Linked DNA regions of Canis lupus familiaris. The protein of the gene in region 3 purifies or fractionates together with the protein of the main gene of each other region. This does not show direct contact. Links are inferred from orthologs where the notes say so. Each region holds a gene or a part of one and is shown on either strand. Other genes may lie near its edges. The genes, in order: BCL11A, HIC1 and MTA1.

Region 1 (4,184 bases), on a different chromosome or scaffold from region 3:
CCCAGCTGCCCGGCGCCCCCCCGCCGCCCCCCGGCCTCCCCCCTCCGCCGCCGGGCCCGGCCTTGGGGGTGCCCTCCCGCCCTGGCCTGCGCCGTCTCCCTCGCCCTTGCACCCAGCCTGGCCGGGCACCCGGAGGCCCCGGGGCTGCCTTTCCGGACCCGCAACCCTCTAAACTTGGGCTGCACTGGGTTTTGCCGCGCGCGTCCTCCCGCCTCCCCGCGCCCGCTGCGGAGCTGCAACTTGGAGGCTCAGCTCTCAACTTCGGGTGATTTTTCTTTGCCAGCCTCTCCGCAGGCAAAGTTTCCCGAGCGCAGCCCCGGGCTCGGGGCTCCCACCGCGGCCCCGGGCGTCCGCACGCGGGGAGCGAGCGCGGCGGGGAGGGGAGGTGGGTGTGCGCCCGGAGGAGGGTGTCCGGGAGTAACTCTACCTGCCTTCCCTCCGCCCGCGCTCCCCGGGACCCGGGCTGCAGCCTCGCCGTACACTCTTGCCTTTTTTTTTTTTTTTTTTTTTTTTTAAGTAATCTTTCATTTTAGGATCCGTGTCCGGGTTGGGGGGGGGTGAGCAGAGAGCACGTCTTGCCCCCCCCCCCACCCCCGCCGCCCCTTTCTTCTCTCCCGGCCACGCTGCCGCCACGGCGCTGGCTGCGGCCACTGGTGAGCCCGCGGCCCCGGCGCCCCCTCCCCTCCCCCCCCCGCCCCTCCCCCGGGGGCCGCGTCTGGCGTCTGCGGAGCCCCCCGCCCCGCACCTCCCCCGCCCCGCACTGGCCATTGGCTTGTCCTGGTCTCTTTTTCATGTCCAGCCCCTGATGTGTGTCCATTGGTGTGAGCTTCCCCTTCCCTCCTCCCCTTCTCTCCTGCTCGCCCTGCCCATGTTTTGTGTGTCTCTGTCCATCCAGACTCCTGACGTTCAAGTTCGCAGGGACGTCACGTCCGCACTTGAACTTGCAGCTCAGGGGGGCTTTTGCCATTTTTTTCATCTCTCTCTCTCTCTCTCTCTCTCTCTCTCCCTCTATCTCTCTCCTCTCTCTCTCTCTCTCTCTCTTTTTTTTTTTTTTTTGCTTAAAAAAAAAAAAAAAGCCATGACGGCTCTCCCACAATTCATCTTCCCTGCGCCATCTTTGTATTATTTCTAATTTATTTTGGATGTCAAAAGGCACTGATGAAGATATTTTCTCTGGAGTCTCCTTCTTTCTAACCCGGCTCTCCCGATGTGAACCGAGCCGTCGTCCGCCCGCCGCCGCCGCCGCCGCCGCCGCCGCCCGCCCCGCAGCCCACCATGTCTCGCCGCAAGCAAGGCAAACCCCAGCACTTAAGCAAACGGGAATTCTCGCGTAAGTAACCCAATAATAGTAATAATAATTATTAATAATCACGAGAGCGCGCAGGACGAGAAGTAAGAGCGAGGGGGAGAGAGGGGTGTGTGCATGCATTTTTTAATTTTTTCACGAGACGAACCTCCGAGAGTCGGGATAAAAGAGCTTAAAGGGAGGAAAAAAAAAAAAAAAAACCAAACAAACAAAACCCCAAACAAACAAAAACCAAACCTCATCCTATCCCGAACCGCAGCCGTAGATACACTTTTGGGATAGCACGCACCTTTTAATTTTTATTTAATTTACAAAAATGTGACTCCTCCTCTTTCATGCTCTCCGCCGCTTTATTTCGCTTTTCGAAAAGGAATGCAATGATTTCCCCTCCAATTTTGCAAAATAATGAACAATGCTTTGGATGCGAACAACTCTCGGGCAAACCTAGAGGAGGGAGCTGGAGGGGTGAGGGGGGGGGGGAAAGGGGGTTGCTTCCACTCACCGAAGGAAGGAAAACGGGGCGGGAGGAGGGAGCCCAAGCCAAAAAAACAATTCCCTGGGAGAAAAGAGGTGAGACTGGCCCTCGGACAGCAGCGCGCTCACGGTCAAGTGTGCACCAGGAGGAAAGTAGTCATCTCCACAATAGTGAGAAAGTGGGATTGTGGGAGGGGGCCCCCCGGCGCTCGGGAGCCTGCCGAGTGTGGAGAGGGGCCGCGGCGGCCGGGGGAGCCTGGAGACCGGGAAGCACGGGAGGCTCGGCCGCCGCTGCCGCCTTTTGTTCCGGCCCGAGGTGGGTGTTTGTCCCGCTGCCTTTTGTGCCGGCTCCTCGCGCCTGCCCTTCCGCGCCGCCGCCGCCGCAGGGCAGGAGCAAGGGCCCCGGGCGAGCGGGAGACGGAGGGAGGGCGCTCGGGCCGCCGCCGCCTGGGTCCCCGCCGCCCGCCCCTCCCGGCCGAACCTCCGCGGCGGCGAAGAGATGTGAAAAATAAAATAAAAATAAAAACCAAAAATAAAACGAGGCAAGAGGACGTACAATTTCTTGCCCCCCAACAGAAGCCCCAAACGCTCGGCCGGCCGTTTTCTGCAACGCTCTCCTCTTGGACTCCCCCACCCCACCCCACCCCACCCCCCCCTGCAAAAATCTCCATCTCTATTAGAGGGGGAAAAATACAATTACCCCCTTCCCCAAAACCCCTTTAGTTGCAAACTTAGAGCGCCGGCGGCGTGGAGAGGGAGCGAGGAACTCCCTCCTCTTACTATTTTTTGGAAGATTTTCAAAAAAAGTGGAAGTGGATTTTGATTGGGAAAAATCTCGTGTCTGAATGTTTACAAGCACCGCGTGTGCGGGAGCCTCCTGCCAACAAACAGACAGAGGACCGAGCGCGGCGCGGCAGCCCGGGAGCGGGCGGCGGCGGTGGCCGGGCCTCGCCCGGGCCTCGCCGGGCCTCGCCGCGCCCCCGCCCTGCTCGGGATCGCCCACCCCGCGCCAGCCGTCCGCCCGCCCGCACAGCGGCAGGCCGTGCCGCGACTCCGCGCCAGCCGGGTCCACGGTCCGCGCTCGCCCCCAGCACAATGCCCAGACCTCCTCCCAGCCCACCGCACCGGGAACTCGGCGGGGGAGAAACTCGGCTTTGCGAAGCATTTTTATTTTTCAAAGCAGCTGAAAAAGCGCGTCTGCAGCCCCCTCCCCCGCCCCCCGAGGTTCTTGTCCTCAGCTCCGGACCGCGGGGAGGTCACCACGTGCTTTCTCTGCCCCCCTCCCACCAGGTCTGGCCAACCAGCACCCCCCCCCCCCCGCCTCCCGATCGCTGCCAGGCCAGGTGTGTGTGTGCAGGGAGGTGTGTGTGGGGGGGGCGGTGAGCCGGTTTTGGGGGGGGGGATTTGGGGAGGTGGGCACAGTAGTATGTGCAAGTGTGTGTTTTGGGAGTGCTGGATCCCCGGACTCCGTGCACCCCACTCTGAGTTCCTGCCCTCTAACCGGGGCCTGTCTCGGTCAGAGCTGGGAGGGGGGGCGGCGGTCCTTCTGAGTCTTTATGGGGTTGGTGGACGGGTTACTGCGTCCTGGCTAACAGTGCGTCTGGGAAGGCGGGCGGTGGGCACTTCGGAAAGTTTGGCAGCGGGGCAGAGAAAGGCTTGAGAGGGCCCACATCCCTTCCCCTCCTCATTCGTGCCCCTTGTTTTAATTTTCGATGCAATTTAAAAACACCACCTATACCCAGTTTTTGTATTTATTAAAGGGTTGACGGGGGGGGGGGTGCTGTTGCGCGTAGGGAGTTGGATTTTTCACTAGGCCCTGGAACTTGTCACACACTTCGGAAGCTCCCCCGCCCCGGCACGTTGCGGGGCCCTCCCTCTCCCCACCCCCGCGCATCCCTCCCTCGTCGCTCTCCCCCGCCCCCCACTCCCCCGGCCGCGCCGGATGCGGAGCAGACGCGGCGCGCGGCGGTGTGAAGTTACAGCCCGGCCAGGTACCGGCGGGAAGGAAGGGCAGTGTTCGCAGGACTCGGGAAAGCCGGGCCCTTCTTCGGAAGGATGCACTGGGGGCGCAAAGGACGAGCGCAGGCGTGCAGCCCGGGCTGCTCCCCTGTCCCCCCCCCGCCCCGGGTCCATCTCGGGACCCTCCAAGCTGGGTGGGTTCAGCCCCCTCTAGCCCCGTCTCAGCGCGGCCTTTGGGGTCAGGGACCAGTGCGGAGGGGGGCGCGGGGGCCGCTGCTTTCTCCTTTTCTGGGTGCGCAGAGGGGGCGGGAGCCATTCCGGTCTTCAGGACCCCCCCTCCCCCCCCGTCCTCCGCTTCTCGGGCTGAGTGAGCCATTCGGTCGCTAGGAGGCAGAACAAGATCAAGAAAGCTCAGCGAACTTGAACCTGTACCAGAGCCTCCCCC
Region 2 (4,128 bases), on a different chromosome or scaffold from region 3:
CCATAGCTGCAGCAGCGCGTGCCGGCCCGGGCCGCTCCAGATAAGAGTGTGCGGAAAGCGCGGCGGGGCTGAGACGCGACCAGGACGCGGGGAGGACGGACCAGCAGGACAGACCGACCGGGGCCCCGGCGGGCGGAGGGCAGCACAGCCACGTCCCCCCTGGATCCGCCGGCAGCCGGGCCCGGGGCTTCCGACATGCCCCCCAGGTGGGTCCTCAACCTCGGGACCAGAAGGGACAGGGGATCCGGACGGCCCGGTCCTTACGCGCTGGCCGCCTCGGGCGCATCCTTCGGCCTGGGCGCCCCAACGCGGCTGGCGTCCAGGACTCCGGGTGTCGCCCCTAGAGGACTCGGGACCGCCGGGCCGCTGCTCCGCGCCGAGTTCACGGCCGGGGTCAGCGGCCCGGGCCCGACTCTGCCCGCACATGGGCCGGAGAGGCGAAGGGAAGGGAAGGGGAGCTGGCGGGCGGGGCTGGCAGGGGCGCTGCCCTGGCACAGCTCGGCGCCTGGCAGCGGGGCGGGTGGGGCGCCGGCTGGGAGCTGCCACCGCCACGGGCAGGGAAGCCGGGTCGGGTTGCGGCCGCAGGTAACGGGCCGCGAGGCCCTGCGGGCCAGGAGGGGAGCAGGGTGGGCCGGCGAACGAGCGGGCAGGGGAGCGCCGAGCTCCGCTCAGGCCCCAGGGCCGCCTGGCTGCCGAAATTGGGAGCCGAGAGGAAAAGCTGGGAGTCGAGGGACTGGGGCTGGCCCGCTTCTCCCGGCCTGTCTGAAGTTGGGAAACTTTTCCCCAAGTTTGGGGCGGCGGAGTTCCCGTGGAGAAGGGGCCGAAGGGAGCTGGGGAGGGAGGCGCCGGGGCCCGCGAATGCAGAGCTGAGGCCGAGACCGGGGCCAGGACGCGGGTGGGGCGCAGGCCAGGGTCAGGGCCGCAGCCGGCTGTGCGCCGTGCCCGCCCGGGGCGCTGCCCCCTCCCTCCCCTGGGAGCTGCGTGGCTCCCCCCTCCCCCCCACCTGCTTCCTGCCTCAGCCTCCTGCCCCGATATAACGCCCTCCCCGCGCCGGGGCCGGCCTTCGTGTTCTGCCGCCACCGCAGCCTCTGCCTCCGCTCCCCGCGCCGCGGCCGCGCCCGGGCCCCAACTGAAGGCCTGACAGCCCCCGGGCAGGGCGGCGCCACGGCGGGCACCGCGCACCCCTCCACGGGATCACTTCCCCCAGCTGGGGCAACTTCTCCCGAGGCGGGAGGCGCTTTTTACTCGGCTCCCTTGTATCCCAATTGGGCAGACTTCTCAGCCCTGAATGACTTTTCCTGAAGCGGACATTTTCCTCAAATCCGGTAACTGTCTCCGAAGGGGTCACTTCCCCCAAACAGTGTTCTCCTTCGGAAGTCCCCAGACCCCAGCCTGTGTGCCCGGTGCCAGCCGGGCCTGGGCGAGCGGTCCAGCCTGGCCTCCTCTCCACCAGCCACTCGCCTATGCCTTCTGGTGCAGGCCACCGGCCCAGGCTTCCACACCAGGAGGCCGCCGACCCCTCTGCCAGCGCCTAGGCCGCCGCGCGCGATGCCCCAGCCGAGCTGAGGGGAAGGGGAAGTTGGGGGGAGAAGCGCCGGGTTGGATCCTGGCAGCGAGGGCTCGAGGGCTCGGGTGAGGCTCTGACCCGGCTGCGGTGTGTCCCTGCAGGAGAGTGTGCTGGGCAGACGATGCTGGACACGATGGAGGCGCCGGGCCACTCGAGGCAGCTGCTGCTGCAGCTCAACAACCAGCGCACCAAGGGGTTCTTGTGCGACGTGATCATCGTGGTGCAGAACGCCCTCTTCCGCGCGCACAAGAACGTGCTGGCGGCCAGCAGCGCCTACCTCAAGTCCTTGGTGGTGCATGACAACCTGCTCAACCTGGACCATGACATGGTGAGCCCGGCGGTGTTCCGCCTGGTGCTGGACTTCATCTACACCGGCCGCCTGGCTGATGGCGCAGAGGCGGCGGCGGCGGCGGCCGTGGCCCCGGGGGCTGAGCCGAGCCTGGGCGCCGTGCTGGCCGCCGCCAGCTACCTGCAGATCCCCGACCTCGTGGCGCTGTGTAAGAAGCGCCTCAAGCGCCACGGCAAGTACTGCCACCTGCGGGGCGGCGGCGGCGGCGGCGGCGGCTACGCACCCTACGGGAGGCCGGGCCGGGGCCTTCGGGCCGCCACGCCCGTCATCCAGGCTTGCTACTCGTCCCCGGCTGGGCCTCCGCCGCCGCCCTCGGGCGAGCCGTCTTCGGGCCCCGAGGCCGCTGTGAACACCCACTGCGCGGAGCTGTACGCCTCGGGCCCCGGCCCGGCCTCCGCACTCTGCGCCCCGGAGCGCCGCTGCTCCCCGCTCTGCGGCCTGGACCTGTCCAAGAAGAGCCCGCCGGGCTCCGCGCCTCCTGAGCGGCCGCCGGGCGAGCGCGACCTGCCCTCCCGCCCAGACAGCCCTCCCAGTGCCGGCCCCGCTGCCTACAAGGAGCCACAGCTCGCCCTGCCGCCGCTGCCGCCGCTGCCCTTCCAGAAGCTGGAGGAGGCCGTACCGCCGCCGGACCCGTTCCGTGGCGGCGGCGGCAGCCCGGGACCCGAGCCCCCGGGCCGCCCCGACGGGCCCAGCCTCCTCTACCGCTGGATGAAGCACGAGCCAGGCCTGGGCAGTTACGGCGACGAGCTGGGCCGGGAGCGCGGCTCCCCCAGCGAGCGCTGTGAGGAGCGCGGCGGGGACCCAGCCGCCTCGCCCGGGGTACCCCCGCTGGGCCTGGCGCCGCCGCGCTACCAGGGCAGCCTGGACGGGCCAGGCGCGGGCGGCGACGGCGACGACTACAAGAGCAGCAGCGAGGAGACAGGCAGCAGCGAGGACCCCAGCCCTCCAGGCGGCCACCTCGAGGGCTACCCGTGCCCGCACCTGGCTTACGGCGAGCCCGAGAGCTTCGGCGACAACCTGTACGTGTGCATCCCGTGCGGCAAGGGCTTCCCCAGCTCGGAGCAGCTGAATGCACACGTGGAAGCTCACGTGGAGGAGGAGGAGGCGCTGTATGGCAGGGCCGAGGCGGCCGAGGTAGCCGCGGGGGCCGCCGGCTTGGGGCCCCCTTTTGGAGGCAGTGGGGACAAGGTCGCTGGGGCTCCGGGCGGCCTGGGCGAGCTGCTGCGGCCGTACCGCTGCGCGTCGTGCGACAAGAGCTACAAGGACCCGGCCACGCTGCGGCAGCACGAGAAGACGCACTGGTTGACCCGGCCCTATCCGTGCACCATCTGCGGGAAGAAGTTCACGCAGCGCGGAACCATGACGCGCCACATGCGCAGCCACCTGGGTCTCAAGCCCTTCGCGTGCGACGCGTGCGGCATGCGCTTCACGCGCCAGTACCGCCTCACCGAGCACATGCGCATACACTCGGGCGAGAAGCCCTACGAGTGCCAGGTGTGCGGCGGCAAGTTCGCGCAGCAACGCAACCTCATCAGCCACATGAAGATGCACGCCGTGGGTGGCGCGGCAGGCGCAGCTGGGGCTCTGGCGGGGTTGGGGGGGCTACCCGGCGTCCCCGGCCCCGACGGCAAGGGCAAGCTCGACTTCCCCGAGGGCGTCTTTGCTGTGGCCCGACTCACGGCAGAACAGCTGAGCCTGAAGCAGCAGGACAAGGCAGCCGCGGCCGAGCTGCTGGCGCAGACCACGCACTTCCTGCACGACCCCAAGGTGGCGCTCGAGAGCCTCTACCCGCTGGCCAAGTTCACCGCGGAGCTGGGCCTCAGCCCGGACAAGGCGGCCGAGGTGCTGAGCCAGGGAGCGCACCTGGCCGCGGGACCCGACGGCCGGACCATCGACCGTTTTTCCCCCACCTAGAGCGCCTCCTGCCGGCCCGCCTCGTCGCCGCCGCGTGGCCCCGGCCCGCGTCCCCGGGGAACGGCGGTGGCAGCGCGAGCAGGCACCCCGCGCCCGGACAACTGTAGTAGCAGCGGCAGCATCGCCGCAGTGGCGGCGGCCCCACCTGGCCTCACTGCTTTGTGCCTTAGCCCGGGGGTGGGGGTGGGGGTGAAACCCCGGGACGGGGGTGGGATGGGGGAAGGGAGATTTATATTTTTGATATCAGCTTTGACCAAAGGAGACCCCCGCCCTTCTCCGCCTCTTCCTGTGGTTCGTC
Region 3 (4,184 bases):
GGGCTCCCGGTGCATGGAGCCTGCTTCTCCCTCTGCCTGTGTCTCTGCCTCTCTCTCTCTCTGTGACTATCATAAATAAATAAAAAAAAAATTAAAAAGAAATAAAAATAAAGAGAGAGAGAACACAGGGAGAGGGAAAGGGAGAGAGAAGCAGAAGCAGGCTCCAGGCTGAGCGTGGACCCCGACGTGGGGCTTGACCCCGGGGCCCCAGGATCGTGACCTGAGCCAAAGGCAGACTCTCAGCCCACCACGGTGCCCCTGAGCCTGATTTTTTTTTTTTTTAAGATTTTATTTAATTTATTCATGAGAGACACAGAGAGAGGCAGAGACCCAGGCAGAGGGAGAAGCAGGCTCCACGCAGGGAGCCCGACGTGGGACTCGATTCCAGGTCCCCGGGATCACGCCCTGGGCTGAAGGTGGAGCTAAGCCGCTGAGCCCCCCGGGCTGCCCGAGCCTGATTTCTTTAGGGCACAGGGTTGCCTGTTTGTCTGCAGGGAGCTCGGGGGTCTGCGTCTGCCCAGCGCGGGCCCCGTGTCACCTGAGCCGTCAGGCAGCGGCGCCGGGAGCCCCCTCCTACCCAGCTCTCGCTCACTCACCCTCCGGGTCTTTCCTTTGTCACCCTGGCCTGAGGTTGATCCCCTTACTGGCTGTTTACACGAGTTCATTTTTCCTCATTATGCTGGTTTTTGCTCATCATCTACCATCTTTTTGCTTTGCGTGTTTTCCCATCTACCAAAGCTTAACCCACCCGTCTCAGGCGTGCAGGTCTGAATTGTGGGGAGCACATGCAGGGGTGCAACTGGCGGCTGGGACGCAGCCCCGTGCCCCCCAGCCCCCTGCCTGAGCAGGGATCCTCAGAGCCGCATGCAGGGCCGGTGGGGCTCCTCCTGGGTCGTGTCCAGTGTAGACTGCATGTGAATAACAGCTTTGGTTTATTTACTTATTTTTTTTTAAAATAGATTTTTTACTTATTTATTCATGAGAGACACAGAGAGGGACAGACACAGAGGGAGAAGCAGGCTCCACGCAGGGAGCCCGATGCAGGACTCGATCCCGGGGCTCCAGGACCACGCCCGGGGCCAAAGGCAGCGCTAAACCGCTGAGCCACCCAGGGATCCCCGACAGCTTTGATTTAATTGGTTTTTTGGTTTCTTTGGATGAAAGCTTTAAGACCAATAGGGCTTTATATTAAAACTGCTCTTTTGAGCGACAATTCACGTGTGATAAAATTCACCCGCTCACGAGGCGTACGGTGTGGCCGCGGTCTGTGTTCAGAGTGTTTCCACTGCCGTCAAGCCGACCTCGAGCCCGTCGATGGCCCCCTCCCGTAGAGCTCTCTTCCCCCCCAGCCCGCGAGCGTGGCCCTCTGAGCCCGGCAGCCCTGTTCCCTCTGGGCTGTTAGTGCTGTTGCTCTTTCGTTCCGTGGAGCTCTGTGGGTGCCCATGGCCGCGTCCCATCCGGCTGTGGCCTCGGGCAGCACAGGTGAGCCCCCCCCAGCAGCACAGGTGCGCTCCCTCCTACAGTATAGGTGAGGACCCCCCAGCATAGTGAGCCTCTCCTGCAGCACGGGTGAGCCTCCCGCAGCAGCATAGGTGAGCGCCCCCATCTCCCTGCAGCATAGGTGAGCTCTCCTCTGCAGCACAGGTGAGCGCCCCCCCCCAAGCACAGGTGAGCCCCCTCAGGTGCCTGCAGCAGGTACACAGCAGCAGCAGGTGCCAGATGCTTGCTGGGGCCTCTCCACACGGTGGAGCGGTAGGACCTCTTGAGAGGACGGAGCTGGCCTGGGTCCTGGGGCAAGATCTGTGCTCCGAGTGGCCCTTTGGCTGTGTCCCGGCTGACACGGGCCTCTTGCAGGCCTTCCCTGGGGCACGGGGGACAGCGCGGGGCACCCCTGCTGGGGACTGCAGCCTGGCCTCGTCCTGGCACCGAGTCACCCGCAGCTGCCCCGAGCTACCTGCTATATCACGGCGGCGGCCAGGCTGGCAGCTGGGTGGCCTCCCGGCTGGCCTGGGCTCCGTGGGAGCCGGCCAGCCGCCCCCGTGGGCCTCTTGGGAAATCCCGGGTGCCTGCCAGCCTCCTGGGGACCGATCCCAGGCTGCTCTGGAGCCGGAGGCGAGCTGGTGCCCACATGGTGTGCTGGGGACCTGGCGGGCGGTGGCGGGACCTCGTTCCTCTGGCACCTGACCCCGTCCGCACCCCCGAGAGCCCTGCCTCTGCCCAGGGAGCCCCGGCCTCCTCCGTTCCCTGCCCGGGGCGCGTGGGGTGGGGGGGCAGGTGCAGGCGCCCGGCAGCCCCTCGGAAGCTGTCCTGGGGGAAGCTGCAGTCCGGCTCCCACAGCGTCTGCGCGGGGCAGGGGGCGGGGCGTGTGGACCCTCTGCCCGGGACAGCCCCCTCCGTCCTCTAGGACCCGTGCCCGGCACCCACCAACATGTCTGGGTACCTGTCTGTGCACTAAGGTGGCAGGGGCACCGTGTCCTTCGTTCCCTCCTGTTCCCTGGCCCCTAGAACTGGGCGCGGGTGTGAGGGGGGTCGGGGCTCCCCTGGTCCCCGGGCTCAGTGCTGCGGGGTGACGCACTCTGTTCCTGTTTGCAGACTACGTCTATTTTGAGAACTCCTCCAGCAACCCGTACCTGATTCGCAGGATCGAGGAGCTCAACAAGGTACGTGCATGGGGGGGGGCGCGTGGTGGGGGGGGGCCGCCCGGGGCTTCAGGGCCGGCCCCAGACCCTTCGGTGGCTTTGTTCCCGTGCCACACGCCTACACCTGGGTCCTTCTCCTTGGAGAGCTCTCCGTGGGGTCCCTGTGGCGGGTGTGCTCTGTGGGACAGGGGCGCCCTGTGGGGTCCCCCTGGCCGGGGTCTCCCCGCCCACCTGCTGCCTCTGCCTCTTCCCGGCTCACTCAGGCCCCTGCCGCCCCGCTCTGGGCCCTCGCAGCCGCCCCCCCTCCCGCCAGCCTCCCGCTCTGAGGCGCCCCCGGCAGCACTGGGGAGAGGCAGGAGTGTCCCTGCGGCCGTGGAGTCCCTGGCCCCGGAGCACCTGTTGTCCCCGACTGGCTGTGCTCCGTGAGGCCAGTCCTCAAGGGCTGCTCTCCTGGACCCCGAGCACGGCAGCGTGGCTGGGCATCCTTGGGACCGGCGGGCTGGGGGCGGAGGTCGGGGTGCTGGTGCTCCACGGAGCAGACTGGTGGCAGCCGAGCCCCGACCCCTGTGCCCCCGTTCCCGAGACTCCTGCGCAGCATCTGCCCGGGGGAGGGGGTGCCCCCAGGCCTCCGCTGCACACAGCGTGTGGGGCTGGTCCTTGCAGCCTGGCAGCTCCTGGGAGGCTGGGCCAGGTCTGGACGCGGCAGGGCGAGGGCAGTGACCAGGACGCTGTGGGGCCACCTCCCGCGGGTGCTTGCTGGGGGAAGCTGCCCACGGCCCGCCCGGGCAGCAGGGCCAGCAGGGCACGGGGTGGGCATCGGCTCGGGAACACATGGGGTCGGGCCCGCGACTCCAGTGAGCGGTGGGGAGCGTGGCGGGGGAGCCGGGGGCCCACTGCTGGGCTGGCCGCGGGCAGTGGGTCTCGGGTGGGGCCAGCACAGCCCCTGCCCCTCGCTTTGGCTGTGACGTGGAGAGGGCAGGTGGCACCACCTGTGGCAGCCTGCAGGTGACGGGTCTGCACGGCAGTGGCCACAGCCCGCCATTGGAGCGCTCGGGGTGGGGTCGATGGGCGTCTGCGTGTGAGCCTGCAGCCCCCTTCAGTACTGGGGTGGGGCGGGAGGGACCCTCTGGCCCCCGCAGCCCGCCTCCCCTGCTGCCCGGGGACCCGGGGCAGTCCCGGCTGGGGCCGCTGGGAGCTCGTTTTGTGGGCCCTTCCCTGCTGGGGCCACCCTGCCCGGAGCCCCCAGGCCCCCAGGGCCCCTTGGGCACAGGAGAAACGGCCCCGAGGGTCAAGTCCCCGGAAGTCGGGGCTCGTCTGGGCGCAGCTCTGGCGCAGGGCGGGGGCGGCAGCTGGCTGCGGCCCCTGAGCTCCCGGCTGGTCACCCGGCGCTCCCCGCCCCCCCACCTCTCTCGTGTCTGCTGAGCTCTTCGGAGGTCCTGGAAGGCGTCTGGGCGCTGGCGGCCTCCCCGGGGGCCGGCGGGGCAGGGGCACCGACTGCTTGCTCCAGCCCCTGTGGTTCCAAGGAGGGCGCCAGCGGGGAGCCCC

Evidence for each region.
Region 1: the proteins of MTA1 (region 3) and BCL11A purify together in Homo sapiens (affinity purification with mass spectrometry; 4 studies listed by BioGRID and IntAct, counting the BioPlex papers as one, with this or other methods). This does not show direct contact. The link is inferred for Canis lupus familiaris from reciprocal best matches to the Homo sapiens genes MTA1 and BCL11A.
Region 2: the proteins of MTA1 (region 3) and HIC1 purify together in Homo sapiens (affinity purification with western blotting; 3 studies listed by BioGRID). This does not show direct contact. The link is inferred for Canis lupus familiaris from reciprocal best matches to the Homo sapiens genes MTA1 and HIC1.

Annotation. Positions count from the first base shown.
Region 1 is NC_049231.1:61,971,434-61,975,617, reverse strand, and holds the start of BCL11A (B-cell lymphoma/leukemia 11A), read left to right. Parts: upstream 1-1,114; 5' UTR 1,115-1,275; coding exon 1,276-1,330; intron 1,331-4,184. UniProt on the Homo sapiens protein: Transcription factor. Associated with the BAF SWI/SNF chromatin remodeling complex. Binds to the 5'-TGACCA-3' sequence motif in regulatory regions of target genes, including a distal promoter of the HBG1 hemoglobin subunit gamma-1 gene.
Region 2 is NC_049230.1:46,105,457-46,109,584, forward strand, and holds the start of HIC1 (hypermethylated in cancer 1 protein), read left to right. Parts: upstream 1-1,077; 5' UTR 1,078-1,288; coding exon 1,289-1,325; intron 1,326-1,668; coding exon 1,669-3,830; 3' UTR 3,831-4,128. UniProt on the Homo sapiens protein: Transcriptional repressor. Recognizes and binds to the consensus sequence '5-[CG]NG[CG]GGGCA[CA]CC-3'. May act as a tumor suppressor. Involved in development of head, face, limbs and ventral body wall.
Region 3 is NC_049229.1:73,159,670-73,163,853, forward strand, and holds the start of MTA1 (metastasis-associated protein MTA1), read left to right. Parts: upstream 1-1,576; 5' UTR 1,577-1,719; coding exon 1,720-2,131; intron 2,132-2,592; coding exon 2,593-2,660; intron 2,661-4,184. UniProt on the Homo sapiens protein: Transcriptional coregulator which can act as both a transcriptional corepressor and coactivator. Acts as a component of the histone deacetylase NuRD complex which participates in the remodeling of chromatin.